Linked DNA regions of Oreochromis niloticus. The protein of the gene in region 1 interacts with the protein of each later gene in a biochemical or structural test. Links are inferred from orthologs where the notes say so. Each region holds a gene or a part of one and is shown on either strand. Other genes may lie near its edges. The genes, in order: lef1 and mitfb.

Region 1 (12,750 bases):
GAAAATGTCATGAGTAAAAAAAACAAAACAAAACAAAACAACTACAACAGCAACCAAAAAAACAGCATGTCCCGCTGCCTCTTGGTTACCTTTTGACAGTCTGCGGGTAGGTAAAGCAATAGCTCCTTCAGTCTGACCACACTCTTTGCTACATTAGCAGGATATGTGACATTACTATAACTTAATTTCAGTTTTGCTTTTTAGTTTCTCTTGTCAGGAGAAATTTTGTCCCGAGCCTGGACTAAATCTGAGCAGGTGCAAAGTCAGCAGTTAAATCTCTGCTGGTGTTTTAAAGTTACCCATCATGTTTGTTTTTGCCTTCCTTCCCACTAGCACTAATTAATTAAACAGAAGTTCCAAACCATTATTAACATCTACTATCATTTAACAGTAGTAAAAAAAAAAAACTAAACAAAAAAAAACCCAAAAGCTTTAACCCATCCAAAAAAAACGAATTTCTCTCTAAAAACACCCTGCTTTTGTATTCATTTCATCACTCAGGACTGTCAATTATTTACTTTTCTCATAACTAAATAATTTTTTATATTCTTACGACGTAAAATTAGAAAATTACTCTTTGTCTCACTGGCAAATGATATGCCGACTAACACGCCTCAAGCTTAAGTTTGCATTTCACATCATGAAATAATACAAGTTAAACTGCAATACTGACTTGTGGAGAGGAAAAAAAAAAAAAAGCTGGTACTGACCGTTCTGGGCATGGGCGGCGAGAGGGAGCCATTGTTCATGTAGGAATCAGTGTTCATGTTGCTCATCATGATGTAACCTGGGTAGCCCGGGTACGGATGGCCTTTACTGTACATGTCTTGATGCTTTCCTAATAAAAACATTTAAAAAAAAAACAAACAGAGTAAACGTGTGTCGGTCGCTGTGTTTTTGCACAGAGAGCACAAACACCAGTAAAAGATTAATTAGCCAAAGATTCAATAGCTTTAATTACAGTCATATCTTCGAAATGGCTGATTTTAATCAACAAACTCGATAAGCAGCAACAACAAAGCCGAGCACAAAGTTGGCCTGGCTGTTTTGATGTAGTAATGATATCGCTGTCGATTGATTTAACCCCTGCCCTATTTTGCCACGGCCTTTTGTTTGTGCCTTTTCTTTCCGCCTCACAGAGGCGGGTCATATTATGCAGCGGAACAATGGAGCCCCTCTGTGCCAATTAGCACCAATTAGAAGAACATACAGACTGTGTCAAAACAGGAGACGCCCCAACTGTTCCTCTATGCCTTTGACCTGAGAGGGGGGGGGAAGCTTTGCACAAGAGGCTTCAATACAGCATCACTCGCCACTCGAATGTGCGCGGCGTAATAAGGCCTGGAGGGGCTGGGGCTGTTTCTGGTATACAATGCGACAGCAACATAGATCTTGTTGTGAAGAAAGCCAGTGTTTGATTTGAAGGGGATCCTATTCAGGAGTGAAAGGGGAACAAAGAGGAGGCATACTCCTCTTCAAAGCCCTAATAATGACCCGCAGCAGCGGGGTCAGACTACAATAGCCAGAGAGCAACAAGCCCCAAGAGGCCGCAACATGTTGCATGCGACAATGCAACCGGAGAGCTGAGGGATACGACGGAAATATTTGAGGAAACACGACACGAAACATCCAGACAAAAGTTTTGCTTTTGGGTTGTGCTCAACTTGAGGCTGCTGCCATAAGTGCATATTTTTGCTCCTTTTTCTTTGATGTCCATTTGTGCAGGTACCCTCATCTACGAGGGAGGTAACAGGTAGCTGTGTTTATGAAGGTACAGCATGCCCTGACTAGACTTGGGATGAGCAGGAACAGGGGCTCTGATAAGAGAAGTACCAACAGTTTCATCACTTCTGCGTGGTGAAAACGAGGGGCCACTACTTCCACCTTATCTTCTAAAGCAAAAGCAAACCATGTTTCAAAAGGAAAAAGAAAAAAAAAAAAGGACTTTTATTGCAAATAAATGTAGCGCTGATTGTCCTATAACACATGCTGATTTAACAAGCTCCAGATTGTGTCTCTTACCATCTTCCGGATGGTCTCTGTGTTTTTCATGATATGAATCTTGTGGTATTTGGGACTGTCTAGCTGCCTGTAAAAAAAGAAAGAAAGAAAATAAAAAGAGAGAGAGAGGGAGGGAGAGAGAGAGGGAGAGAGAGAGAGAGAGGGGAAAAAAGAAGAAGAATCAATTAGAAAGGCATCCAAACACAGTTACACACATGCTGATGTGGTCAGACAGCCACAAACATTGCTGGGACAAACATCGTCCCTTTGCCTGTCACCAAAGGAGAGAAAGCTTACAGACAGACAGACAGACACACACACACACACACACACACACCACTATCTATAGAAGAGTGATGGAGCAGCCTGCATCAAAGCTTCAGAAGAACCACTTAATTAAGCTTCATGTCCTTAAGGAGCTTACAAATTAACTTGTTTTCAGTACCATAGGTCCACTCTCATTTTCATCTCCCAGTCTGAGCCTCCTTCTAAATTCAAATAGTGTGTTTCTGTCATAAATGAAATGGCTGTGTGCAAAGTGAAATAAAATCGCTCCATAAAAAAACGAAAAGGGAAACAGTGCAGACTATTTTCTGCTTATGAAAAAATGAAAGAAAAAAAAAATCCTCTGCACTTTGAACACCCATTTCCTTTCTCTTTTCGAATCCGAATTGGGAAGGGGACCTCTTTTTTAGAGTTCAGACCCCTCAGGATGGCTTCAAGCTGAGCGAGGGAACTTCACTAGATTCCTAATTAACATTCAGCCTCTGTCTCGTGTGTCCCTAGGACATTCGGCGGGGAATGCGTACAGTTTCGTTCAGGATGTAGCCATGTAGAATTTTTTTTAAATCAGAAAAGAAAGAAAGAAAGAAAATGGATTAACACCACAGTTAATGGCAAAACAGCCAACTTAAATGATGGGGATGCTGCAGCCTGCATCCTGAGGTAGGCTTGATGGATGCGGGGGGAAAAAAGAAGTCACTGATGGTTCACGCTCTGTCACTTCTCCCCTGCTTAGAAAAAAAAAAGCCATCTTGCAAGTGCGATATATAAAGCACGACTGCAATAATTTTTAATCATTAAAAATTAATCTCGAAGAATTTTTCCACTGAGATTTTCAATCCATTTAACATTCACCACAAATTCAGCACATCCACACATGCAAGGATTTCTTCTCATGCACCCATCTGGCCTCTCAGCATCCTTTCAGTTTAATCAAATGGAACAAAGCAAATGCAGAAAAATCTTTATTATACAACTCACCCCCCCCCAATTCCAACCTTAAAAACTGAAAAGAATAATTTATAGTCACAGTTTAAAAGAGGCAATAAAAATAATGAGCAGAATAAGCCGGAGTGTGTGAAGATCAGATCTTGAAAACGAAATAAAAGACCGCATCCTTTCATCCAGGCAGAATTTTAAAAATTGTGAATGTTAAGGAAATTCACAGTATTGCTGGCAAACAGGTTTTAAGCCATGTGTGCTAAATGGATTCATGTGCTGGTGTTTAAGCTGCTGAGGGTGTACCACAGCCAGCACAGCCACCGAGCCCTGCTTGTCACAGGCAGCTTCACAAGGCCCCAGTTCTCACATCTCATACAATATCTTTTGCATTTAGCTCAATCTGCAATTTCATTCATTTAGAGAAAAATACAACTGTAATAGAACATTACAATTTAGGCCTGCACTGATTACAGTGGATAGACTGCTGAGTGTTGGCCTGTGACATTTATAGGAGCATCTTTTTTTTCTAGTTTAAGGAATCATAGCCATATCAGTGGCACAGCTCAAGTTACATTTTCAATTAAAAGGAAAATAAAATGGAAATCGTAAATTAATAATGATAATAAATAATAAAGCTCTAAAAACGATTCGTCTATAAAACTAAGCAAAGGGAGAGGAGGCGTTTTCGCGCACAAGACATTCAGGTAAACCAAAGCTCAGTAAAAAACTATACTATTAATTAGAGGAGATCAACTTTTGTTTTAAAGGCTCCTGCGGGCTTTTTATTTCTATTTTTATTAACCTTCCCTCTCTGTTGGGGAGCTCTCAGTAGATGCCCACCACCACATCAGTGAACCCACAGCAGTTACTCACGTCGTGGCTGTTGCTGTTGGGGCTGCTTTCCGACTCGTTGACCAGAGATGACTTGATGTCTGCCAGGTCCCCTTCCTCTTCCGAGTGGCTCAGCTCGGCGAAGATCTGCTCCTTCTGCGGGTCCCCCTCGTCTTTGAACGGGATCATTTCATCTGTGGCGCAAAGCTCCGGGTCTCCGCCGCCGCCTGATAACTGGGGCATTTTTTCACAAAGTGTTTCGCTTCCCCGAGAAAACCGAAGACAACAACGCGTGCCACCACTGTCCCGAAACTACACAGAGATAGAGAGGGGGAAAGATGAAAAAGGAAAAAAAAAAAAAAACCTCCCACCGAAACGGAGTGGGAACCGTTGCCTTCCCCCCCTCCACCTCCTCCCCTGTGTCACACCGGAGAGTCACCCGGAGAGGAAGCGGCGTGTGAGCACGCTGCCGGTGTGTTTTTACTGAAGCAACAGGAGGCGCGAGGCTGCTGCCGGCGTCCTTTTGTTGTTGTTTTTTCCCCTCTTTTCTGCTCTTTTTCCGTCACGAGAGTTTAACTACAAAGCTTGAAACTCACACACTAAAAAAAGTGAGATGCAAAGGGGTCGGAATGAGAAGTCCAGTGCACGCCTCAATGTCATGAGGAAAACATAAAAAGGGGGAACAAACCACGAGTTAAAATCTCATCACCATCTTTTTTCCTCCCCTCTCGCTTTCTTTCTTTTTTTCTGTTTGAAGTCAGCACGCGACGACCGCCGCGTTCCCGTAAAAACGACTCAACGTGAAAAAGTACATTTAGAAAAGTGAGAGAAGATATTTCCTCGGTGGTCCCGGAGACGAAGCTGCGAGCGTCCTTCAGCGTGCGTGTGGAGAGGTTGGAGGGAGGGGGAAAGTAAGACGAGGAAAAGGAAAAAAATTAAGTGATGGATGCGTAACTGGAAGAAAACGCAGTTGTTGTTGGGGGTTTTTTAAACAAGCAAATACTTGGGCGACAAGCAACGCAGCGAGACGCCGTGATGCTTAAAAATACATCCTCGAAGCTGCTCGGATGAGGAGGGATAAAAGCAAAAACCAAAAAAAGAAGAAGAAGAAAATCACAGAAAACAATCAAAAAAAGAAGGCAAGAGTGGAAAAACGCCGTGGACCCGACTTCCCACTGCTCCCGCACCGCTTCCACAGCGTAATGTAACCAGTGTGTGTATGTGTGTGTTGGTAATGTAGCCGTGCTCCCTCCTCCTCCTCCTTTTTCTCTCTCTTCAGTCACTGGGAAGAAAGAGAGATGAAAGGGAAGCCGAGGCTCTGATTGACACCGCACCGATTGACACTCCTCCTGAGAGAGAGATTTATACACAGCTCACAACAAATGGGCAGACAGGAGGGGAGGAAAAGGAGAATGAGCGGAGAGGCTGGAACTTGCTGTGTATATGATGGGTTAAAAATAATGAGGAGAAATAAAAAATGATAATTGAAATATAGAGGGAAAAATATTGGACAAGCTTAAGCCTGTTTTGTTGGTGCTGGAGATGTGATTTAATAAATCTGCAAGAAGTGGCAATGGCCTGTTTTGGAAACAGAAACAAAAAAATAATAAGCTGAGGGAAGTTTAGAGGAAGAAAAACACACAAAGTATGCTCCAAGTGTTAGGAAAAATAAAAAATTATATATATATATATATATATATATATATATATATATATATATATATATCAGGTGTATGTCTATAAAGGGACATAGGCCTGTTATTTATTCAGCTCCCTTTAAACTACCTTGCGGTATACCGTGGGCATATTTGTGGCTACATGGTGCTTTCCGTGTTTTCTACTTACATCAAACAAACAAGAACGTATTCAGAAAGTCTTCGCCCCCAAAAATGGCCAGGTTAAAAGAAAATGTCATATTGTACTCACAGGTTACCTGCCTATATTTAAAGTCCCTTTTGCATATTAATTCATTATTAGCACATGCGCATTGAAATTAACAAAAATATAGAAAACACCAGCGATTGGTCTGTTTGCTACTTTTACCACTGAAAAAAACCGTATATATCAAGCTGCAGACGAGCGGAAGAATATTTATAAGAAAAAAAAAAGAGTACTTTAATGCCGATGTATTTAATGAGAACATACAGTTGTTGCTTTGTTGTTTTAAGAAAAAGGAAAGTAAACAAAACAGGCAGTGGAAGTGGCTGAGTTTCAGCGTCTGTCTGAGCACTAAGAGATTGCGTGAGAATCAAAGTTGGGATGGGGAGGCAGATCTTTATAAAGCGCGGAGGTGGGTTAGCGGGGCGGAGCCGCGGCTGCCTTTGATCTTGCGGCGGCTGGCTCTTTCATCCCCGACTCCCCCACCACCCCGCGCTTCCACCGCCACCTCCCTCCCTCTCTCCCTTCCTCCCTCTTCCACCCCCATCCCCTCCTCCCCCTCCTGCTCTCCCTTGCCTTTGTATGACTAAATTTGGTCTGAGTGTGGAGTCGGGCCAACATTTCCACGTGTGCGTTCATCCCAGCTGAGAGTGAGAGAGAGAGAGAGAGAAGGGGTTCTCTTCCGGGTAAGGAGACAGCGAGGAAAAAAAAAGATCAAAGGCTTTTGGGTTTTGGAAGCCGAGTGTGGATTCAAAAGAGCCGAGACTGGCTGCATTCCAGAGTATAGCGGAAAGCGCGCTGCTGCTGCTGCCGCCGCACGCGCGACGCGCGTACGCACACACATTCACGCACAAGTAGGCTACGCACGACCGCAGCACACGCACACTAACACGCGCACAAAAACACAGCAGTGAAAAAGAGAGTTAATTAGAAAGATTTCACACAGGCAGACAAGAACAAGCAAAGCTTTCATTTACAAGACCCTTTAACAGTATTTTTTCTTGTTTCCAGCCAAAAACTGTGATAGCCTACAAGGTAGAAAAAAAAAGAAGAAATCTTCCCCTCTCTGTAGGAACTGTCGGTTCTACTTCATTACATTGTATTTAATTTAATTATCCGGCACTATTTTTTTTTCCTGGCGCGATCTCAAATGATGCTACAGCACCACCAACACCCTAAAGCCATGCTAACAGAAGCAACCTAACCGTTTTTACACTTGTATAAATATATTTTTCTTTTTTTCTCTTTCCTGCATGTGTTCTGCATTCACCTTGGATATGGTTTTAAATGATAAAATTGGTAGAAAGGGAAAAATCTGGGAAGAGGAGGGGGCGACTTTTGGTTGCATTAAGGCCTATTAAGATACTAAAAAAGAGAGAGTACAGGCCTGCAGGGCCTCTGAAGTGGAAAGATCCCACAGTGTTTAAAAAAAAGGAAACAGATTAAATATAAATCACAAGCATAAATGACTCATGTTTATTCTTTGGTTTTTGGTTTATTGGCATTCAAATACGTGATAAAATGCAACATATAAACCTTAATCCTAATGCTCTGTTTTCAGCATCAGTGAGACACAGTAGGCCCCAGTTTAACAGTCTAAAAACACACTCAACAGATTCATACTTTATGTTTCCCATTTGATTACAATTATATACAAACATGATTTAAACTGATTGAAGTGTGGATTTAATGCACACTTTGGTGCCAGTGCCAGGTGTAAGACTGGCAGGGAGATGGTGACAGTTCTTCACAGCAAAACTCTTCCCAAAGAATAAATAAATTTTTGTATATTAAGATGTGATTATAGCCTATGCAATGTGTAAAATGCATAAAACAAACAATTATATAAAACCATAACAATGCTTAACTTTTTTTTACTCAAAAGGTCTCTTGCAAAGGGTAATTCTGACCTTCTTAAACTAAATGTGCGAATAAACAGAGACAATCAGCAATAGATCAAAGATTTTTAGGGAGATAATTTCTTTACTTTTCTTTCTAAAATGATTTTTGCATATACAGCACAGCATCTGTGGAACCCTTATCAGCGAGCAGATAAATCAGCAACAAAGCAGTCCAGACCAAGAAGACATTTACTATGATTGAAGATAAATTAACACTAATAAGAAAAACTAATAATATCTGCACAATTGAATCACGAAAATAAAACAGATTTTTCCATCATGACAGACTAAAAAAAATTTAAAATAAAATTATGAAACATAGTGGATCAGTGACAGAAGTAGTTATGGAAAAATAAAAAACATTTATCAGTAAAACAATTGAATGCCAACTATCAAATACCTGTGTATATTTTTATGTTATATTGTTATTGCAGATGTTTCATAATGCTACATATTAGCTTAGTTTGGCCTCAGCTGAATTGTGTTTCCAGCTGGGTTTGGATTTTTTTTGTTTATTGTAATTTAATATTCTGGTCTTGGAAAGAAAGCTAGTTTGTGAAAGCCATGAGTGAGGGAGAGATTCATTATTAAATACCCTTTGCTACATGATGAGAGACCACTGCAGGAAGTCCATCTTCCTGATTAGCAACCCTGAGAGGAGAGGTTATTTGTTCACTGGGTGATATATATATATATATATACATACACAACAAACAAATAACATACAGCTTTTGTTTGCTGTGTAATAATTCTAGTTTGGGACTTGATGACAAGGCAACCAGCGACAGCCTCTCTAATGAACTGCTGTCAGAACCACCTAACACACCTTCCCTTGACATGAAACTGCATTATATATTCCAGCTTGGCTCTATGCATCACGGCCCTCGTTGTTAAAACAAGCAGGAAAGTTGAAGTGGGAAGAAAAGAGAGAGAGAAGGAAGAAGGGGAGGAAAAAAACAGAGCTACATTAGCATTTCTCTCCTAATGAGTTCATAAGAGTGACCCCTCTGGATCTCACATGAAAAGGAAGATTTCCTGCAGCGCTGTGACCTGAATTCAGTTGTCTCTCACTTTAGATACTCAATTTTGCATGTTATATAAAAGAAGAAATGTATCTATACACACGGCATAATTCATCACCAGCGGATTCTGATTTCTTTTCTCCCTCCTTTAAGACTGGTAGTCTATCTCAAGGAAGAAATAAATATTTTAATGGTCTGCACATTGTGGTAAGACCCAAAGTGTTGATGAACTTAATAATGCATATTTAGCTTATTTTGTTTTATATGATGTTTTTCCTCCTCTTGTAAAGTTGGGACAGGATCTCGGTTTCGCATACAGTATGAATCGTGTCAAACAAAATGCTCTTTGTTGGAACAACATTCAGTCAAGGTCCTCTTTAGATCTATTATTGTCTCATCTTTTATCTGTTCTATTTTCATTGCGATGCATAACACTTCAAACAAAAATTACCCTAATTATCTCTTGTTCCCACACTGTGCTGTGTATGTGTGCTGTGTCTGTGTGTGTGAAATCAGCCTAGTCGGTGTTATCATTTGTCCTTATCAGTTACTTAAATGACTTGCCGGGTGATTTCAGTGCTGAAATCATTACTCTGCCTTCTATTCCACCTGCTAGTCACACATAACAACTTCCTTCATGTAAAAAAAAAATTACAGCCCTTGCACTCGCAGCCACCTTCAAGAAAACGACAGGAAACAAACATTAAATTATGATGAAAAGGGCTTGCAATTAAAGCCGAGAAAAGACACCATTTATCAAACGTGCAAATCAAAACTGGGGGAGGTCCGGGTTGAGTGATTATTGGTTCAGCCCTTTGATTGGTGGAAGATGAGTCACCTTCTTGAAGGGAAGGAAAGTGTCTTGGGGGTAAGGTGAAGGAAGTGAGAGGCAGGCCTGTGATCTGTTGATTTATGGCAATGTTGTCAGAAGTTTGTCTCAGACAAACTGTCATTAAAATGAAATTATCTCCTTGATGGAAAGGAAGGGGAATTTGTCAGGTTATGTAGATGTATTTTGTTTTGAAGCTTCAATTTTAGAACTGTGGCTGTTGCTGTCTTAGTTGTTTGTTTTGGGGTTTTTTTTGTTTGTTTTGTTTGATCGGGGGGCCAGCAGGATGTTAGGTTTATTTCTCTGGCCACAAAAAGATTTACGGTTGTGTTTTTTTTTTTCCTTTTTATTTTTGTAGTGAGAAAAAGCTTCTTGGCACACTTACCATGTCACTGTAAACATTTTCCTGATGACTTTAATGAGTTTCATTGTTAATTTCATGTCATATTGAATATGAAAGCTTGTTGATTATAAGCTTGGCAATGATAATCTTCCTTATTAATGGGGGTATGCTCATTGGCTAACAAATCATGATTGACAGGTCGTTAGCCATTGATCAGCCCTGTGTGGTTGGTTTCACAAAGCTAGCATGGTGCAAACGTTCAGCTTAGGGTCTGACTAACCAGTGGGTGATGTCACACTATTTTTATCTTTTATATACAGTCTATGTTTTTTTTAAAAGCCAGAAGTGAGTATATTTGGACATGTGTTATTAGCTATATACTGTGTGGATTCATTGCAAAGACAAGTACTCGTACATTTTACTTTAAAAAAATAAAAGTGAAATTGTAGACTTGCTAAAACACAAAATTCTTAGGTGGGGTTTCAAATTAAACATACAGATCGATGAGCCAAGAGTTACCAACACGATAAACGCCGTTGTGACTTGAAATAATTGAGGTGAAGCCAAGCAGAGAGCTTGTCATGAGCAGGGAAGCTCACACACTTCCGGGGAAGTCTCAAGTGGGAATCTGAAGAACTGCCGGCTTCTTATTTTTAGCCCTGAAGGATGCGGCTTAACGTGTCCAAAATGTTTGCATGCTAACATTTGTTACTCTGAGTGCTATAGCCGAAACATAACACTGACCTGATAAAGGCTAAAAATGATACAACGCGTTATTTCTGCCTTTACTGCCTCTTACAAATTACCAATGCACAGACTCCCCTATTGTCTTACTGGCAGAGATAAAAACTGATTCACACCAACTGGCATGTGACTCCACCCTCCCATACTCACCAGTCAGTGATGCTGACAGAAGCACTGTGCACAACTTCTCAGAGAAAGGAACAGTTTAGGGATCACCTTTCCTCTGGGACTTGACTCACATTCTCCAAGCTTCAAAAAGCGGAGCGCTTGCATGCCGCCATGAATCACTGGACAACACTGAACAAACACGCACATGCACAGACAGAATCTCTATTTTGTCTCTGGCAGTCCTCACTGACGCAGCACACGGCATGTGCACATAATGCAGCTAGACTCAAAGGTGCTACCTCACTGCAGCCAAGAGAGTAATCCTCTAGGGCATATAACATAACAGGCAGTCTTTCTTCTCTCTGTGTGCACATGCAGCCCTGTCGCGCTATCGCACCTGAGGGCTAATTTACAGGTTAACACTTGGCTGACCCATGTGTCTTGAAGAAAACCGTTGGGTGAGGGTTTTTACCTGCACACTTCACCCAGCTGGGAATGCCACCTTCTCTCCAATGAACTCTCAGTTTGCAGGAATCTTTAGAAATCTGCTTAGCTTGCCTGTTGGCACCCGCAGCTTTTGTTTAACTTGGTATGTGCAGTATGAATCAGCTATGCCACTATAAGGTTTTTGGATCTTATTTTTTAATCAGCTTTTTTCTAAGTGAAGGTTTCCTTCAGTTACACTCTGAAAGGGAAAGGTCTAGACTGCTGAAATTGATCAGGTTGTAGAGGCATGAGAAAGTCCCCCTTTTTTTCTGCATGTCCAGAGGTTGGTCAAGCATCACCACCAGCTGTCCTGCACTATGTGCTGCTGTGTTGTGCTGCATTCTTTGTGTCCAAAGGGGAAGTGGTCCACTCCTCAGCACACACAGATACTCCCTTCACCCCGCAGTGTGTTATTGGAGAAAGCAATGAGCACTGCTTCAAGGCCTGCTGTGTATGGGTCAAGGGTCAGAGCTGACCTGCTAAGAGGTCACAGGGCCCCTATCCAGTCTGTAATCAAGCACGCAGCACACCTCGCTGACCCCACGCCTCCGTCTGTGCCCATCGCCCAGCCTCAGCGCATCTCGGCTGCCTGAGATCAAACAGAGAGCAGCAGTACCTCTGGCCCTGTGTTATCAGCCTGGGTGTCTCATCACATCAACACGCAGGGCTAAACAGTAAACACTGTCTCTCTGGTTTGCCTCACTCTGTGTGTGTGTGTGTGTGTGTGTGTGTGTGTGTGTGTGTGTGTCTCCAAGCTGGTGTACATGTTAGTATAGAAGCTCGACCGCATGTGATGGTTATCTGAAGCAGCAGATTTGGGTAAGATTAAGATTTTTTTTTAAACTAATTCTAGCTTAAATTTTAAACTTAATAAAAAAAAGATTTGGATTTTTCTCATTTCATTCAAATACTCAGAGAAACCTAAACGTGTTAAAAAACAGGAGTAAAAACATGCAATGATTGATTTTTGCCACTTGGGGCACTAGAACAAACTTTACAAGCTAGAGGTAAAAGGGTTTCCCTCAGTGCTGCGCGACACTGGAAATCTTTATACTGATTCAATATCAAGTAAATACAGGGCCAGTATTGCAGATACAAATACAGATATACTTATGTAGGGGGGAGCAGTGTGTCATGCTTTATGAGATGACTCATTAATTTGCAAATTCTGAACACATTTTAATAACCACTGAGTCACGGTGATTTTTTTTTAACTTTACACAGCAACAAGACAACGCAACAATTCTGACCTTTTAGCTTTTCTCGCATTTTCAAATTTTAAAACTGGGTTAAAAAAAACAAAACAGAAACAAAGTATGGATCCTATTGTGCTACTAACAATCTGATGCCAGTACCAGCTTTGGTATCAATACTATCAATATT
Region 2 (12,750 bases), on another chromosome or scaffold:
CCAAAGTCACATACAGCATTCAGTTTTCTCACAGGAATCTCATTGACATAAACTAACAAATTGTTGTTTGGTTTGGGTTTGTTTTTTGTTTTATTTTGTTTGGTTTTTTTTCATTGACCTTAGACCCCTAGCAAAAAACAAAAACACTAGTGTCACTGCAGTCTGCTGTAAATGCCGTTGCCTGCCAGCATGGCGAGGTATTCCCACCCCCACCCCCATGCTCTTGGATTTCTGACATCAGACATGAATAAGTATCTCATTAAGATCCCCCAAAACCATCTGCCCAATGAGTCTCCTCCTTACAGGAAAAATGCTCTCATAAACAAAAGAGTAGGATTCCCTCATTACCCTCGTTACCCTCATTAGAAATTATTCTATCATCACTGGCAAGCTGTGGTTTTAATTTATTCCAGGAATGGGCATACTTATTAAGACAGCATGTCTCCACTTTTTATAATCGGATTTCGCAATTCAGTTAATAAACCCCCAAAATACTCATTAAAACTGCTCACAGGAAGTATTCTCCAAGTTATCACTCTTCATCAATTTCATTGAACAATGAAAACACAATATTTACTTAAGGGGTGTGCATCAAATTTTATGCACAACTAACTGTGTTTAACTGCCATTCAGTTTTTCATAAAGTCCTGGAGAAATGCAGCATCACTGATAAAGTATGACTTTCTTGAAGCTCATTAAACCAAAACAGCTATTTTTGTACTCTCAAATGCTGTTTTGACGCATGTGCTGGATAGTGTTTTGTTTTGCTGATGTTCGACCTGAGCTCTACCTTTGAGACTGCTGACAATCACATTATGTGTAACAGGCTGAAATGCTGGATGGTTACATGGGGGTGTCCTGATGCATGCTAAATCATGCAGGAAAGGAAATTCCAGAAAGTTGATTCTGTTCATCTGGACGTTACATTTTCAGTGGGAGAAAAGTTTCGACACTTGGACGCGGAATGAAAATCTTCTTTCTGAGAGTGTATAGAGGTCTGCTTCGGTGAGACTGTCTTCAAATCTGTCAAGTTAATCTTTCCCTGTAGCTGCTTCCAAGCTACAAGGTTCTGTTTTGGGGTCTTTACTGTTTCTGTTATAGCTCTGCTTTCTTCACCATATGTCTACCAGTGTTAAGGACATTGCTTATCTATGCTATGCAGATGACATTGGGTTATATATCTCTGTTATGCACAAAGATTTTTCTAAGTTACAGATCTTGCATGGGTGCTTAGACTACTAAGCAACTTGAAAAGTTGAATGGCTGACAACTTTCTCCAAAAAATGAAGCCCTTGTTTGTGCCCCTGACCGATTTGTGCCTAAGGTAGTGAAAGCTCTCCTCGCCCCTTTTGGTAAATCTTCTATCAGGAATCTTGGGGTAACTTTTTAACTGTGGATGCTCATGTTAAGTCTCTGGTTTGCTCTTGCCTTTATCACTTAAGAAGTATTGCCAAGCTGAGTTTCACTGTGTCACCCGCTTATTTGGAAAATGTTACTTATGCCTTTATTTCGTCACACCCGGATTATTGTAATTCACTGCTCACTTGTCTTAACAAAGTTTCCTTTGAATGTTTGCCGGTTATTCAGAATGCCGCTGCGAGGCATCTGACTAAGTCTTCTAAGTACTCACATGCCACACCATTGATAATTCAGTTTCACTGGCTTCCTGTCTGCTCTAGGATTCTGCTTGTGACTTTTAGAGAGCTGCATGGACAAGGACTGGCATAAGTCAGTGAATCTTTACATCCACAGATTCCCACCAGGTCCTTGAGGTCATGTGATCAGGGCTTGGTAGCTGGGCTTCATATAAGACCGAGATCTAAAGGAGTTAGAGCTGTTGCAGCAGTCCCCCACAGACTCTGGAACTCTCTCCCACTGAACTGTGGACTCTTTTAAAAAGCAGCTAAAATGTATCTTTTTAAACTTTTGTTTTTATGTTCTGTCATTTATGTTGTGAAGCACTTTGTTATATTTATATTGAAAGGTGACATATACACAAGCTTTTACTTACTATTTAAAAAAAAACCCTGTCTATCTGAAACACAAATAAACATTCTTATAATAAATAATAATACTTAGTTTATTATTTGGGCTAATCCGACATTTGTTATGGTACTTAATTTGCTAAAATGAGTCCTGGTTTCTTGGATTGGTGTGTTTTTCAACAGACAAGCTGATCAGCAGCTGATAGTCATCCTTACTAGAGCAACCGGACACCTTCGGCTCATATTCCGCGATGTTGTTTGGCAAACGGTTGCAAGTCACTGATGACTGGATGGCAGACTTCAAGTTAAAAGCCGTGACTGAAAACAAAGGTAAACCAGAGTGTTTTTTCATACCTGAGCCGTTATCGATGACCTCCACTGCAGTTCATGTTATTTTATATGGTAGAAATGTTTGTACTGGCTGCCTTTCCAATCTGCACATCCTTGAGTAAATAATAGTGTGTTAGTCTTTGAATAGTTATCCCTGTGTTCACTTATCTCAGGGCACATAGCCAGGATGATGCAAGATATGTGGGTTGTTTTAAAGAAGTTTGTAACTGATACCAAAGTATTCATATTGTCTCCAAGTACCAGGGTTTGAAGATGTTATTGGCATTACAAAACAATGTGTATATTCAGATATTCAAATATTAAACAAATATTATTAACAAATCAGTCCTGAACTCAAATTTAAGTGAAGTAGAATTTTTTTTATGTATGCCCAGCTAAATGAAGCTGAAGCTGAAGATTAAGAGTTCAGCTAAACATATAAATTGTGAAGGTTTTCAATTTATAATAATTTTATTTCAACAATTGACCAGATATTTGTCTATGCAAACTTTGTTTTCGCTATAGGTAGAAAAATGGGAAGCCATAAAACACTATATTTTTCTGCAAAATGAAAAAAGAAATCATTAAATGCACAACTGCCACAAAAGTTTATGAGGTGTGTAAGTATTTATTTACAAACCGTTTCTGCCAAAAAGAGATATAGCACTGACACTTGGATAACTTGGAAAACATGAACACAAACATTGGTTTTCTACCTAAGGGCACTGAATCAAGTTTATTTACTAATGTGCTGACACTGATGATCTGTGCAGGGTGCATGCTGTCTTTCACCCAACATACTGTGGTCCCCCTCTGTTATACAATGGCTGGAAGGGTGGATGGCTCGCTGGATGGATGGGTTGATGGGTGGATGGCTGGTGAGCAGGCTTTTGCACTGGCATTAAAACTAAGAATTTTGGACTCTTCTGACACAGTGATTTTTTTTCTTCTCATATTCAGGTCCTTAAATTTATATTTTCTTGCTTTATTGAAGAATATTAATTTATGTGTTATAATTTGCAAAATCAGCATATTCTTATAGGTATTTAAGAAATGATGTTTCAAAGATAGAAAGATCACTGTGCTAAGAATCGTTTTCTAAATAAATTGACTTCAAAACTACTTTTATTTAAAATATATCTTAAAAATATATATCTGGAAGTAAGTACAAAGGCTGTAGTAGTCTACAAATGTTACAGGTCTAATGCAGTTGGGGGGGCTGGGTAATCAGTACCTCAATTCACCCAAGTACCACATCACAAGTAATTTATCTGTATATTGTAGATCGGATTCTCTGGAGCTCCTGTGTCATGTCATTTGGCTGGATGTATGTGAGTCTTCTTCTCCTGTGTGTCTCAGAAATAGTATTGCAGAAATACAGAAGAAAAAAAACACATTCTGATCCCATTTCTCATTCTGTTCAGCTATCATCGTTTTATTTAAGGCTTTATTTTTAGCCTCCGGGTATGTGCTTTCCAGCAGAATCATATTTGCATTCTATTTGCATTGGTAAAATACAGACTTTAAACCAGTTCAACAGGATGAGGGTGAATGCAAATATTGAACTACCTCTAAATTTCCATTTTATAATAGAGGGTGCCCCCCACACCCCCGCGGGCTCACGAAACTGTTTTCTAGCTCTATACTCCCACCAAGTGGTAGACAAGACTTCAACTGAGGAGACCAAAGTTGGTGTGCTGAGAACAGCGCGTGGGTGAGAGTAGGAGACGAGCGGTCAGTCAGTCTGCACAGGGAAACGGGGAAAAACAGAGACATGAGGCTCGTCTTGAGGTTGGTCTAAAGTCGGGTGCAATATCTGCATGACCCAATAAGAGACTTGAAGTCTAAATATCAAGGTTGCGAATGATCTGCAATGTAAGAAGTGCCGTTATTTATGTTTTTATTTAGATTTTCTGAACAGTTTCTGTGCGATTGCTTCCAGATTTACTCATTTAACTGACTGTTACATCCAGTGTTTGGTTTTTTTTGTTGTTGTTGTTGTTTTTATTATCAGAAACACACAGTCTGATTCTTACTTACTTCAAGGTCACTCTGGGCATGTGTGCTTTAAAGGCTTTAAAACAACTCACTAGATATTGTTTTTATTTTTATTTGCAAACAATGTAGTTATGCTTTCGCAAACTTGCTTGAACAGCATGCCCAGGTCACAAAGGCTGGATTTTTATTTTTTATTTTTATTTTTATTTTTATTTATTTTTTATTTTTATTTATTTATTTATTTTGCGGGTGGTGGGCATGGTGTAAAATATAAAATAATTCATTTTTATTGTGATAGCAAATTAACGCACTCCATTATTTTTAACCAATATTAAATGTATCTGCATTCAGGCAAAATGTGGAGACCATTTCTTTGAATGCAAAATCTAAGAATGCAAACACGCACGGCCACTGGAGCAGACGCTACTAATTCAAAATAACTCTTTACAGCCAATTATTGCGAAATCCACACTGCTGAATAAATATTGCTTATGGAAATGAAACTCTGACATTTCAGTTTCACTAGTCGAGCAAAAAAAAAAAAAGGGTTGTGTAAAAATCCCCTCGGATACTGCAGCCAATCAGAATTGTGCTGACATTTACATCCCCGGAGCATTTTGGTAGTTGTAGTTTCTGGATTATTTGGAGCCCGTTGGCTGCACTTTAGCCGCTGCCGCGAAGGACTACAGAGCTCCGGGTCCTGGGCAGAGGCGGCTTGCGTTGACGGTTGGTACTGTGCGGAGTACTGGGGCACGAATATCACCCGTCTGTTTTTTTAAAGAGGGTTTAGCGTCTCCAAAAGTTGACATCTGCAAGTATGCAGTCGGAATCGGGAATAGTTCCTGACTTCGAGGTCGGAGAGGATTTTCAAGAGGAGCCTAAAACGTATTACGAATTGAAGAGTCAGCCCTTGAAAAACAGGTCAGTTCTTTTGCCGTGGACAGTTATTTCTCACGCTGGAGCGGTTTTTGGGGTTAAGGTGATAATTAGGCTGCAGACTTTTTAAAGTGTTGTCCAAAGTCTATGAATGTGCGGGGCTTTCTCATTGATGTTACTGAAGCTGGTCCCGGTGTACCTCGTTCCTTATGGTCATCCTGCTTGCATGAAGTTATGCAACACATGGGTGTTGTCTTGTCAACATCAACTTCAAATATTAGCTCACAGAGGAGCAGACAGGTCAGAGTTTAGTAAGGTGATGCTCAGCCTGTCTTGTGTTGATGGCTGATATTCAGGTTCTCCAAAAGCAGAATGGTGAGTTATTGTTATTTATTAGATTTTTCTTTAAATCCCCCGAGAATTACCTCTTTTTTAAGTATCACTGCATAACAACATGTGTGGTAAAAGTGCCATAAGTCTACTATGGCACTACACCTTGTGCATTAACAGCTTTGAAGTGTCAAAAGTGTGTAAGAAAGTATTAACTATTAGATAAGCTGTAGTAAAATAAATAAAAAAATCAAACCTGATGTTTCTTTCAGTGGAGGAGTGTAGCCTTCTTTACAAGCTCACAGTTAATATTAAATGCTCTAAAGTTGTTTAAACCAATAAAATAAATCAGCAACCCAAGAGGCAGACAAAATTTAGTTTTCAGCAAGTTGATGGCCTATTAAGAAGTTGTAAAACTTAAGTGCATGTAGTACTGGACAAAGTGCTCCAAGTCCTGACAACAGTTCATTCTTGTAAGGACACAGAACAGAAACAAAAAACAGCTTGCAGCACTGACGTTTACTAATTTAGTTTCAGCTTTGACACACTGAGGCCTCAGAAACATTTAGCTGAGTCAGATCTATGTGGTGTGATTTCACCTTTCACCCTATTTCTGGAAGTAATGCACAGCAAGTTTGATGTCTTATACATATGTCTTATACATGTGTTTAATGCAATGAAATGACAGATTTCCTGTCAACAGTGTAGCATATCAAAACAATATTGAGAAACTTTAGAAGATGCCCTTTTTTGCTTTCTTACAATTTTCACTCTTACTAAGAGTGAAAATTGATCCCAGAGGTGGGAAATATGTAGCAAAATCTATGAGATGACTGGAAGGTGAACTTAAATTTGTTTTGTTTTAATGTTTTATGGGAACATGTTTTTTGTTCTTATTCTAAACACCTTCTCATTTAGAAAAAAAACAGCGTTACATCTTGTTTCGACTGACAGTGAACTGTACTATTCTCAAAACTTAGTTGGTGTGATTGATTCAATTTAAATTAAGTAAGAAAACATGTAACAACCACATGTTACATACACACATTTTTTTCATTGTAATTTATGATTGCACCTCTATGGGTGATTTCAAGTCACAATGAAATATTGTTGGGGTGTAATATAAGTCGTAAGTTATAACATTTTCATGCCCCCTCTGTGATGAGGATGGTGATGACGATTATGCATCTATTACCAGGATGGTGTCAGAGTTTTTGTATTTTGTGTCTGCTCCTCTCTGTTACGTAGTTTAGAGGTGGTGATACATGGCCTCATTGTCAGGGCGAGACATCCAGAGGACAGTACGCCACTGTGTTCGGACAGAGCTCTTGCTGCAGACGTTCGCTAGACTCCAGTTATTTATTTATTTTTCTTTCCTCTCGTTCTTGATATTTTCTTGCAGATTTGCGGTTTGTCTCGTTTTCTCTAAATTCAATCAAAACAACAGTTAGAAGAACTGTTAGAGGAAGAACTGTCATCTTGGACAGTCTTAGCCTTTAGCCTAGTTCTGCATTTTTTAAACTAATGTCTTCAATTTTTTCATTAGTGAAATGTCATTACACTGTTATACATCCTTGGCCTGAATCTGAGGCTGTGTTGTTTTTGTTGCTGGTGTAGCAGCAGCAGCAGCAGCAGCAGCCATTCCAAGTATACGCGAAGTATCAGCACGGTTTGTGAATCATTGCTGTTTGTTTTTCTTTATGTCATTTTTCTCCTGAATGTGTGAAGTCGTCTGAACCGTGGCTTTGATTGAAGGTATCCCACTTCCCCTTTCTATCACATGAAGATGACCCAGCATAATAAATAGTCACGATGACTGTGCCATAAGACAGTTTTATGCAAAATGGTTATAATTAGTTTGATTGATTACTGAGTTGTCTGATGTCTTCTAATAGCTGCTTAAGAAGTATCTAAATTTGAAGTTTTGTGTGCGACAAAATGTCATCTTAGCTTTCATAGATCTATTTGTTTTCTGGCTGTCTGCGCATCAGTTTGACAGAACACACAGACTGCTGCTGACGTCGTGCCAACCTTTTTGTGCCTAATATAGATGTGAGACAGGCGGCGAAACTAGTCTTCTATGCAGTGTAAATAAGCTATATAAATTTAGCAGGGAATGTGTTATATCAGAAACTGTGAGTCGAGGGATCTTTTTTTTTTGCACCCTCAGTCAATGCAGAGGCTGAAAGTTTTGCGTTCTAATGAACAGGCTCGATTATGAACATAGCTTATATTAAATCCATATGGATGAATAAATATTCAAATGTCTTACACAGAAAGATCCCCGGCCAGTAAAGATTAGCAGATGCTAGGCAGAAGGAACCAAACAAACAAATGTGTTGCATTTACATCAGCCTTACAATGAAATTTTCTTGTTGCTTAATTAACGTGTTTCTGTAACAATTTAGGCCAGAATTATCACTTTTAACATTTAATGCCATACATACATCTTTCAGCCACAACATTAAAACCCCTACTTGTTTTAAGCCACAAAAACAGCTGTGGCCCATTGGAGCACAGACATTGGGGGTATTCTGTGGTATTATGAACCTTTTTATTGGCAGACCCTTTGGTCGTGTGGGTTGTGGGACTGGGTTTTTGCAGATGGAGCTTCGAGCTTTTTGTCATTTGGGATCTTGGCGTGGAATTATGTATCAAAGTTACACCCGCATGAATCCTGGATCCCAAGGTTTTCTGGCAAAATTGCAATTGCTAACAAGATTGTCAGTGTTAATCATTTCATTCGTTGTTTTTAGTGCATCTCTATCTGTTTAAATATAAAGACTTCCTCAAAAGCTTTCTTCAAATCATACAAAGCTGAAAATAAAGAATTGAATGACTATGAAAACTTGACAATGGGACTTGGTTTATGTTGCTCAGTAAATATCTGTTTCAATAGCTCGCAATGGGTCTTTGTGGGTCGGGTCTACACTTCGGGTTCTCTCTCTTGGATCTTGGCCTGAGGGGTAAAAACATGAATGGAACTCAAAGTCTCCTGAAAAAACTTTCTTCTACACACCTGAAAATAAAGAAGAATCAGATTTAAGTCAGCAAAAACTGAATCATAAATTAGACCAAAAAGACAAAGACTGCGGTCAAAACTTTTAATGCCGTAAAACTCTGTTTACTTTTTTACTTTTTTTTGGTTTTGGTAAAGAAGAAATTATAATGAACCTTAGGGCACTTTACATAATAATGATAGCTGAGAAAAGAAAATAACCTCAGGCTTACTCTTAATGCACACTCCTTACAGGCATGTTTGGATGATGATGGGTCTTGAATGTGGATGGAGTTCTTTGGAAGAGACATTTTACTTTACCTAAAAATGACAAGGACGCGGAGAAATACAGAAGAAATATTGTAGTTTTCACAACTTATTAGTGTCTAACAATCAAATGAGCATCTTGGTCATTTGTAGTAATATTTTGGTATGAAAATAAACCTTTCAAATTAAAATAAGAGAGATGGAAAGGGGATTTAGTAAAATGATCGGGATATCCAAATATCAATTTAAGTTCTTCTGCAATAGAACTGAAGTACAGAATAGGTATTTAAGGTCAAAGCAATGAGCCAGTGGTCGTGAGCTGAGTCAGAGTTTGAGGGATATGAAACTATGTGTCCAGAGCAGCTTGTTCCCACGGGGTGTCCTAGACAGAGATGCCAAAGAGGTTCATCCATGATCTAAGAAAGACCGAGGGGCTTAAGTGACACAGACAGGTGTTGAGGCTGGAGTAAAATACAGTCAGAACAACTTGTCCTGTAATCATGGTTATTTTTCTGCATTCTAACCTCTTATGTGGCTTCTCAAGCACATCTGCTTAAGATTTCTTCATAAAGAATGAAAAAAATAAAATAAAGAAAAAATTATAAACTCTACATCTTTTATTTACTGATTGATTTGCGTTTGCAGTGTTAATATTCCTGACTTGTGATCTTTGTCTGCCTCTGTTGGTGCCCAGAAGGAACTGCAATAATAAAAGAGGCCTTTGAGTGTGGCTTTTATTGACACAAGTAATTATTCTTAACAGTTAAAAAAGAAAAAGTAGCCTTCAGGCATGATCATGTCTAAAGCCTTCAACTAGATGATTTGTTATTGATTAGTGCAGAATTAATTCATTGTTTACTCAATAAAATACAAGAAGAACCAGAACTAGTGAATCTTTGGCACGTTCGCTTAAAAAATGACTAAAATGACTCATTAACTATTTAAGCAGTAAGTTGTTATTACAAGTATATATAGAAGTTATAACAAGTAATTACTAGCATGCATTAGCTGTTGAAAAAAATACCCTTCACTGTTAAACAGCTAAAACAAATACCTTTACACGGTGACTTAATTATTAAATTTTAACTTGTGGTTAAGACGCACATAATTGCGTACAGTTATTTTTTTTCAGAGTCATATTTTACAGCAACGAAACATTACCATGGTTCATTTCCGAAGAAAGAATGTGTTGATTGTCTGTTATCACCTTCAAAGAAAGCCGAGGATAAATCAGTCTCAGAATGAAAAGCTGTTATGTTGTGCTTGCACATCGTTGTTATATCAATGAACTTGAAAATCTTCTGCACTCATTCAACCTGCTGTAAGGAAACGTATCAAAGGCTCCTCCTTACTGTCCTTGGAAGCTCTACTTACTCTTTGTTAAAGCGCACAGGAAAGAGAGGGAGCTGCAGCTAGAGCAGGCCATCCTGCCGAACACAAGTGAGGGGAATTACAAAGAGCACAGAGCCTAATTACAGAAATAAGACCCAGCAAGTTCTAGTTATCCCATCCAGTCCTGGCTTCCTGGAAGCATATTGCAAAGTACCTGATTTGCTTTTTAGATGCTTTTACGACTGACCCTGTTTTGTTGTGCTTTTGTACTTGAGTGTGAAATAATTATGTACAATTTTTATTTTAACAGTTCTTTATGGAATAGCAATTGTTTTGTAGACCATTGTTTTTTTTGTTTTGTTTTTTAAAAAAAAGGCTATTATAGCAACAGTCAGTGACAGTTGATGCTTTACTAGAGGTCAGGATATCTGTGAGTCACGACATTAAAACCATGTACCTAATAATGCGTAGGGCCCCTCCATATCTCCAAAAAGGCATTGCTATATATAACTTTATAGACTATGCAACAAAATGCTGTTTTGTCTGTGTTTGATGAAGCTAAGGTATTTCCTGTGCTTATGCAGTGTTTATGCACGGTAAATACAAAGTTTCTACCCAGATGTTTACCTAGATATTTACAGGATTAAACTATTTACCTCATCTGAATCATTTGTACAGTTGTTTTTCTGTTTGTTTTTTAGACAAATAAACAAAAAAAAACAACACTTTTATTGCATTCCCTGTGTACAAACCCCACATAATTGACGGTCTAGACATGCATACAGATGCTTTCTATTATCTATGATTTGCCTGCTTGTGACTGACTCCATCCTATCATGCCAGCTGCACCAAGCTGGGCATGTTTGAGCAGCACAGGAGTCCAAGTAGATCAATGCACTGTCATGTAGGGTCATAATCACTCATTTGTATTCCAGCAGAGAGGTTGTGTAGTCTGCTAGAAGGGCAGCAACTCCTGCAGTTTGGTAGAGAGAAAGAAAAAAGGAGACAGGATTGTTACCAGTATTCAGTTTGCCTGTGTCTTGGTTAGATTGCCTATTTTCACTGCTCTTATCCTGTGCTCACTGTATAGTTATATGCAATGTGGTCTGTGTAAGTCACTGTCTACTTCCACAATTCATCCCATTCCTCTTTATTTACCTAAATAGAAGCTCCCGAGTTAAATGATGAAAACACACTGAACGGCCACCAACGGGATAAAAGTTGAGTTTTAATGAGTTTAATGTGGTTTCTTTAGAATACACCTAATCTGGGGAGTGATGTTTAAACTAATGAAAATGAGCACACAGTGTGTCTTTTATTTTTCTTTCATGTCAGTTCATTTCTATTGTGCAACGTGTAGTCTGCCAGCCTCTTGCAGCAGCAGAACATATGTTGCATTCTCCTGTTTATTTTTTTGCAGTTGTCATTTGAAAGTGTGTATTTGTATCAGCCATGAAAGCTGTAAGAAAGTCATGCTAATATGTACACATATTTAGTTCAAATTAAGGTCAATCAGCAGATGAACGTGAAGTCAGCTTGGTAGTGTCAAACTTATCATTATGCACTGTGAAGGTCAAACATGAGAGGAAACAATAAGCAGCATATTTTACAAATAAAGGGAGACTTTAAGGTTTAAATAAACCATTTGAAATCCTTTCAATTTCTCTAAAATGCAGTGTCACTTGTCAAAAGCAGACAAGTTTTTGAGTTGTGATACTTTTGAGATACAAGATTTTCACAGGACAGCGACCCCTACTTGGTTGTAGTCCATCTACAACACGTGTCGGCACATGTCTCTAAGCGTAACACTATCTGCGTGGTTTTAAAGCAGCGTATTGATGGACAGTGTGTTTCCAGCGAACGCCTGCACGCTCCTCTCTTCTGCTTTGCTGTTGCTCTGCACGGGGCTGGTCCTATGCCTGGGACTCTGCGTGGCGATTGGAGATTCCAGGCCGGGCCCTGGAGCCTCCCCTCTCTGACACACTTTCAGCGCTGCACCACCAGCATGACTTTCACTGCTCTCCAAGGGCGGGTGGTGCACCTTCAGGGAAAAACAAACAAATATGGAGGCTGTAGGAGTGCAAGTGTACAGACCCTGTTCATTTGACTGTCTGTGAGTATGGCGCCTCAGCATCTGTGGTATTGCTGCAATGCATTAAGGCTTTATTTTGGAATCTATATGTTTGTTCAACACTATGTACACATGAAGGGCACCATGCACTGAGCTGTATGTGGGAAGTAGTCTTGGAAGATTTCTCCTTGTGTTTTTATGTGCTGAATAGTTTTTGTATGTCAGGATATACATTTATCAGGCTATTATAGTTAATTGCAGCTCGTCACTGGCCACTTATAGCGAGGGAGCTTAGAAATCTCATACTTAAGACATAAAGTAAATAACAGAAGAGGTATCATGTTTTGGCATGCTAGTTATTTATTTTTTTTAATGAGACTGTAATGGTAGAGTTATTATTCAGTCACACAGAAGTCATTAGGTCTGCAGAATCCATCTCCTGTCAATTACCAGCAGTTTTACAGCTGCAGTGCATCTGTATTGTAGAGTATTTTCCTTTAACAGCTCAGTGTTTTGACTCTTCTCAGACCTTTGTCGCTCCACAATGTTACTTGACTTCTGTC

What was found.
Region 2: the proteins of lef1 (region 1) and mitfb form a complex in vitro, tested with the Homo sapiens proteins (2 studies listed by BioGRID). The link is inferred for Oreochromis niloticus from reciprocal best matches to the Homo sapiens genes LEF1 and MITF.

The regions. Positions count from the first base shown.
Region 1 is NC_031971.2:18,068,273-18,081,022, reverse strand, and holds the start of lef1 (lymphoid enhancer-binding factor 1), read right to left. Parts: upstream 5,675-12,750; 5' UTR 4,300-5,674; coding exon 4,099-4,299; intron 2,090-4,098; coding exon 2,023-2,089; intron 839-2,022; coding exon 711-838; intron 1-710. UniProt on the Homo sapiens protein: Transcription factor that binds DNA in a sequence-specific manner. Participates in the Wnt signaling pathway. Activates transcription of target genes in the presence of CTNNB1 and EP300.
Region 2 is NC_031984.2:11,678,411-11,691,160, forward strand, and holds the start of mitfb (melanocyte inducing transcription factor b), read left to right. Parts: upstream 1-4,985; 5' UTR 4,986-5,130; coding exon 5,131-5,234; intron 5,235-5,444; exon of another isoform or gene 5,445-5,564; intron 5,565-12,109; exon of another isoform or gene 12,110-12,179; coding exon of another isoform or gene 12,180-12,229; intron 12,230-12,750. UniProt on the Homo sapiens protein: Transcription factor that acts as a master regulator of melanocyte survival and differentiation as well as melanosome biogenesis.